Linked DNA regions of Cricetulus griseus. The protein of the gene in region 1 interacts with the protein of each later gene in a pairwise test. Links are inferred from orthologs where the notes say so. Each region holds a gene or a part of one and is shown in the gene's direction. Other genes may lie near its edges.

The links. The genes of interacting proteins can lie anywhere in the genome.
Region 2: the proteins of Troap (region 1) and Dyrk1b interact in binary tests that used the Homo sapiens proteins (3 or more experiments, as listed by UniProt). The link is inferred for Cricetulus griseus from reciprocal best matches to the Homo sapiens genes TROAP and DYRK1B.

The regions. Positions count from the first base shown.
Region 1 is NC_048595.1:395,511,114-395,515,351, forward strand, and holds the start of Troap (tastin), read left to right. Parts: upstream 1-1,438; 5' UTR 1,439-1,463; coding exon 1,464-1,620; intron 1,621-1,884; coding exon 1,885-2,033; intron 2,034-2,140; coding exon 2,141-2,324; intron 2,325-3,603; coding exon 3,604-3,761; intron 3,762-3,843; coding exon 3,844-3,981; intron 3,982-4,238. UniProt on the Homo sapiens protein: Could be involved with bystin and trophinin in a cell adhesion molecule complex that mediates an initial attachment of the blastocyst to uterine epithelial cells at the time of the embryo implantation.
Region 2 is NC_048602.1:7,915,076-7,917,427, reverse strand, and holds part of Dyrk1b (dual specificity tyrosine-phosphorylation-regulated kinase 1B), read left to right. Parts: coding exon 1-21; intron 22-1,153; coding exon 1,154-1,440; intron 1,441-1,982; coding exon 1,983-2,129; intron 2,130-2,210; coding exon 2,211-2,351; intron 2,352-2,352.

The DNA.
Region 1 (4,238 bases):
CATGCAGAGATGAAGACAAAACACAAATAAAAAATTTTTTTTCCAGACAGGGTTTCTCTGTGGCTTTGAAGGCTGTCCTGGAACTACTTTTTTTTTTTTAAGATTTATTTATTTACTTATTATGTATACAACATTCTGCCTCCATGCCAGAAGAGGGCACCATATTTCATTACAGATGGTTGTGAGCCACCATGTGGTTGCTGGGAATTGAACTCAGGACCTCTGGAAGAGCAGCGAGTGCTCTTAACCTCTGAGCCATCTCTCCAGCCCCTGTATCTCTTTCTGTATCTCTTTATATAACTATCATATATGTAAAGATAGTCTTTTTTTCAAGATTTTATTTATTTATTATGTATACAGTGTTCTGTCTGCACATTCCTGCAGGTCAGTAGAGGGCACCAGATCTCATTACAGGTGGTTGTGAGCCACCATGTGGTTGCTGGGAATCGAACTCAGAACCTCTGGAAGGGCAGCGAGTGCTCCTAACCTCTGAGACATCTCTCCAGCCCCAAGATAGTCTTTTTAAATTCGGGATTTCATTATTTAATCGTGACTGGCCTGATTCCAAGTTGACTTGATGACCTAGGAACTCAGAGATCCGCCTGCCTCTGCTCGTCCACTTCGAATGGGTGGGTAAGCAGCTGAATTCTAAAAATGCTTAAATGGGGCATGGGAGGGGGAGGTCCGGGAGCAGGTAACAAATAACGCCCATGTCCCTGGCTTGTGTATGGGTCAAAGGCTGTCCACGCAGGGCGCGTGCGACGCTGACACACGGGAAGCTGGAGCAGGAGGCTGCGAGTGTGAGGCCGGTCTGGGACAGAGTGTGTGCAGACTGGGGTGAGCCGGGGTCTGTCTCCCCATCTCCACACTGCAGCCTCACACCTGTCTACCCAGGAGTAGCCGCTGAGCTGTCCCTCCAGCCCAGGGAAAGGCAACTGAGGGTGAGGGGCCCCCCACACGAGGAGCCCTTCAATGCCGCTCCACAGAGCTCCAGCCACACTGCGTCCATGGGGTCCACACCCCGCCAAGTCGTGAGGTCCGAGGGGACACACCGCTTCTCGGCTCCTGGATCTTGTCGGGTTCAGTTCAGTTACCTCCAGCCCGCTCTCCCGTCTCCCGAAAGACGTGCCCAAGCTTCCCGGGATAGCACCGGCCTTGCATCACTACGCTCGCAGTGTGGTCATCGGGATTCTCGACGGCCATCTCTTCCCACAATTCCGCGGACCTTAATGGGTGCAGGCCCTCGGCTGGCCCCAGATCTCGCGAGAGTACGATAATGCCCGTTGCAGCCCAGATTCGCCTTCCCGGGCATCAGCACTGCATGCTCCCTGGCTTTCCCCCAATCCTGCCACTCGCGCTCCGCTCTCGGATTGGCTGTGAGAGCCGGTCAGTTTTTTCCCCGGCCAGAAAGCAGTCCCACAACTTGTCCTTCTCTGGCCCCGCCCTCGGCGTTTGCGGATTGGATGGCTGGGTGTGATGTCACGCGGCTCGCGTCAGCGGAAACTAGCCAATCACAGGGTTGGCGTATTTTACAAACTGGGGAAGCCGCAGCAGCAGAAACCCAGAAAATCGGCGAAAAAGCTGAGAGGGTAGAGGTGACCCCGAGGGGCTCCTGGAGAGGTGCGGCATGGGTTCTGGGAGGGGATGAGTCCTGTCGAGGTTCCCAGGGAGGGACAGCAGTGTGGCGTTGCGAGGCGAGAGAGCAGGCTTGCGGTGTCTGGGGGAGTCAGCCCGAAGAGCGGCCTTGCTGCCGGGGCGAGCCTCTAGGCACATGGATTGGGAGCCAGGTGGAAGAATCAGGGCTATCAGCCCCATGCCCTGTTAAGTGATTTGCTTTGGTCCTCAGTCCTGCCTTCCCGCCTTCTTCTCCCGTCTCAATTATAGCCGCCATGACTACCCTCCACACTAGGAAGGAGCCCCTCCTCCGAGGTGTGTCTCCCACCCCTAGCAAGATTCCAGTACTCTCTCAAAGATGCCCAGATTTCTCTTCAGTCAAGTCGTGCTCTCAGGACCGGGAGAACCAAGATCCAAGGGTAAGAGGGGCTTGATGGTTGAAAAAGAGAGTAATGACATGGAGGCAGCTTACATCAGCAATGCTCCCCAGCACCGACTCCCAGCTTTTTGTTCCCTTCCCCCTCAGAGACTGTCTCAGAAAGTCAGTACTCCGCATCCGCTCATCGGCTCAGCAGCCCCCAGATCGAAAACCCTGCACCACACAGAGAAATCACAGAAATTGGGGATCACTCGGCTGCGGAACCCTTTGGAGGAACTCAAGCCTAGCTGTGGGGGAGCAAATGTGGAACATGTGTCTCACACCCAGACAGGTACCTGCTGGAAGCCTGGGAATAGTCTACTTGGTTGAGTGAGGATGGGAAAAGCCAAGTGGGATTTGGAGGGGTTGCACACCCTCTGGTTCCTTGCATATTGTAAGAGTTCTAGACTCTGTCCTGAAAGCTCTTTGCACTAAGAAGCCATCCCTTTACTTCAACAAAATGTCTTCTCTTTCTTGTCATGGTGGTGCATACCTTATCCCAGCACTCGGATGCAGAGACAGATGGATCTCTGTGAATTCCAGGTCATCCTGGTCTACAAAGTGAGTTCCAGGCCAGCCACAGCTCCACAGTGAGACCGTGTGGAAGCCTTTTCAGCAACCTAGTCACAGACATTCCCTCATTGTTGTGCTGATTCTTTTTAATTGGTCCATACTATAGCTTGAACAACCTCCTTTTCAATAACAGATATGTTTTTAAAAGATTTATTTTTGGCTGGGCGTTGGTGGTGCATGCCTTTAGTCCGAGCACTCGGGAGGCAGAGGCAGGCAGATCTCTGTGAGTTCAAGGCCAGCCCGGTCTCCAAAGCAAGTACCAGGATAGGCTCCAAAGCTACACAGACAAACCCTGTCTTGAAAAAACAAAACAAAACAAAGAGGATTTATTTTTGTTTTATGTGAGTCCGTGTGAATGCAGTGTCCATGGGGATCAGAAAAGAGCATTGGATACCCTAGAGCTGAAGTTATAGCCAGCTGTGAACTGCTATGTGGGTGCCAGAAATAGAACCCTCCCGGAAGAGCTGCCCATACTCGTAACCACTAAGCCATGTCTCCAGCCCTCAGTGATATCTTCTGTATGACAAAGAGTAATAGCTTACATGAAATTCTTTTTCTTTTTTTAAGATTTTATTTAATTTTTATGTATACAACATTCTGCTTCCATGTACATCTGCACACCAGCAGAGGGCACCAGATCTCATAACAGATGGTTGTGAGCCACCATGTGGTTGCTGGGAATTGAACTCAGGACCTCCGGAAGAGCAGTCGGTGCTATTAACCTCTGAGCCATCTCTCCAGTCCCCTACATGAAATTCTTACATGAGCTAGGTTCCCCCAACTCTCCCCCATCTCTCAAGGCTGACTTTTAGCCCTGTATGCTGGGGAGGCTGGCCTTGAACACCTGGCTCTCCTGCCTTGGTATACTAAAATCTGAGATTACAGGTGTGTACACTAAGCCTGGCTTGGATATGTTTCTTTTGTTCACTATTGCTAGAGTCCTCTGCCCCTCAGCCTCTGCTATTCCTATCGTTCTAATCCTATCCCTTTCCTTTCAGAGGCTTCAGGGGCTATAGAATTTGTTGCTGACCCTGCAGCCCTGGCCACCATCCTGTCAGGTGAGGGGGTGAAGAGCTGTCCCCTGGGGCGCCAGTCCAGTCTGGCTCAGAGAGTACTAGTTCGAGGGAGCAAGGGAGGCACCACCCAGAAGGGCAAGGTAATGAGAAAGATGTGAGGTCAGGATGGGGTGGACTTGGGGAATTCTGAGCTCTTGCTGATAGCCTCTGTTGGCATCTCAGGGTGCTAGGTCTTCCGCATACCTGGCCCCCAGAACTCCCATCCATCAACTGGATCCAGCCAGGGCTTCCTGCTTCTCAAGACTGGAGGGATCAGGATCCCGAGGCCACACTTTGTTCCCACAGAGGATAGAGACTCTAGTGAGTACCCTTGAGGAGCTGACACTTAGTCTTTCTAGAAACTTCTTCCTGGAACAAAGGTACTGCCCTAGAACAGTACCTCCTAGATGAAAATGGGTTCTGAGCAGTGCTGTGCAAGAATTTAATCCCATCACTCGGTAGGCAGAGGCAGGAGGATCTCTGTGAGTTCGAGGCCAGCCTGGTCTCCAGAGCAAGTGCCAGGATAGGCTCCAAAGCTACACAGAGAAACCCTGTCTCGAAGGGAAAAAAAAAAAATC
Region 2 (2,352 bases), on another chromosome or scaffold:
CAGAGATGAAGTACTACATAGGTGAGGCCTGCCCCTGGGTGAGCGCAGGGCGCCTGTGTGGAGATAGCGCCAATAAGGGTGGCTCTTCAGGCTCCTCCGCCTCAGGGGGTCTCCTGCTGTGGTCATGACTCTTCTTCTGTGCTTATTTAACAGTGGTCAGTGTTTATCCAGTGCTCGCTAAGGGCCAGACTGCTGCAAACATTTCCTGTGAATTACCTCACGCCAGCCCAGTGAGGGAGAGGGCAGTTCTGTGCACGTTAGAGATAGGAAAGTGAGGCACTCAGTGCTGTCACGTACATGAGGGGACAGTTTATACAGAACAGAATTAGAGATGTGTCCTCTGGAAAGGGACTGACAAATGGCTTAAAAGGACAGCCAGTGTCGCTTGCCACAAAGACAGATACAGCTAAAAGGAAAGCAGATTCGTTTGTTCATTTGGGTTTTTGTTGGTGGTGCCACTTCTTGGGGTTTTGTTTTGCCATACTGGGGATCAAGCCCAGTGCTTCATGTATAGTAGGCAAGTGCTTCTCCCCAGAACTGCGCCTCTGGACCTCTTTTTACTTAGGTATTTTGAGACAGAGTTACCTGACAAGCCTTGGGTTCATGCTCTTCCTCATCCCCATCTGAAGACCTTGGTCTTCATGCCCGCACACCAGGCCTGGCTCGGTGTTATGAATGAAATGAGGAAGCCTGGGATTGCTTTGAAGCTCTATTAGGAGATAACTGCATTTTATTTCCCTATGCTGGGCTGAGGCTTGAACCCAGAGCCTTGTGTTTGCTAGGCAAACAGGCTCCCACCCTTTGGCCATCCCTTAGCCTATGCCAGCGTAACCCTAAGGTTACTCTACCCTTTGTTTTGTTTTTTTTTTTTTGGCTTCACTGTGTACCAAGCTGGCCCTGAACTCGTCATCTTCCCATTTAGCTTCCCAAGCGCTGGCATTACACAGTCATGCTTACTATTCCCCGCTGGCAGAAACCTTCCTTTTGGTGACAAGTGGAAGGTCTGAGAGCCTCAAGAGATTTAGCATGCTTTGCGAGTCCGATGCACAGACACCTGAGGGCTCGCTGCAGTTTAGCAGAGGCGGTTACCGTGTGGCCCTGGGCCGCCTGTCCTCTCGCCTGTTTCTCATCTGTGGCCTGCTGTCCCCCACAGTGCACCTGAAGCGGCACTTCATGTTTCGAAATCATCTGTGCCTGGTGTTTGAGCTGCTGTCCTACAACCTGTACGACCTCCTGCGCAACACACACTTCCGCGGTGTCTCTCTGAACCTGACCCGGAAGCTGGCGCAGCAGCTCTGCACAGCGCTGCTCTTTCTGGCCACGCCCGAGCTCAGCATCATCCACTGCGACCTCAAGCCCGAGAACATCCTGCTCTGCAATCCTAAGCGCAGTGCCATCAAGATCGTGGACTTTGGCAGCTCCTGTCAGCTTGGCCAGCGGGTGCGGCTCCGACTCTGGGCAGGGCCCGTGTTTTGGGTGGAATGGGATAGGACAGCTTGGTTTTGACCCTGGAAGCTGATGAGAAGCTGAGAGATGACATTGGGCATAGGGAGGCCGGTCTGAAGGGAGGGGAGCAGAGATGAAGAGGGCAGAGGAGACTCAAGCAAGGAAGAGAAAGGGTGACCCCCAGAGCAGAGCCTGAACTCTGCTTTGCGGACTTGTGCTCTTCAGGTCACAGGTAGAGACCTTGAATTCGTGCAGCCTTGTGTGAGCAGGCAGAGGGGTCACTCACTACTAGTAGTAGTTCAGTATGGGATGGCCAGCCTCTCCTAAACAGCAGGGACCAGAGCTGGGAGCAGAGGCAGGGTTAAAGCAGGCCAATGAAGACTGGAAGCTGATGAGCAGGACAGCGACTGGTTTGTGCAGCATTGCTGAGAATCTAGAGGCTCCATCCTGTGTTCGAGCAGGGGCTTGTCTTCAGTTGAGTGTCCCGGGGGAACCAGCAGGGGAGCCAGTGCCCTGACTCCTGTCCCCTTCCCCAGATCTACCAGTACATCCAGAGCCGCTTCTACCGTTCCCCCGAGGTGCTCCTGGGCACACCCTATGACCTGGCCATCGACATGTGGTCCCTGGGCTGCATCCTTGTGGAGATGCACACCGGAGAGCCCCTCTTCAGCGGCTCCAATGAGGTGTGCCCCTGGAAGGGGTGTGCTGGAGGTGGAGGGGTGGAGCCTGGCCGCCCGGCGCCCCTGACCGCCACCTGCCCGCAGGTGGACCAGATGAGCCGCATTGTCGAGGTGTTGGGCATCCCGCCCGCGCCCATGCTGGAACAGGCACCCAAGGCTCGCAAGTACTTTGAGCGGCTGCCTGGGGGCGGCTGGACCCTACGAAGGACAAAGGAACTCAGGAAGG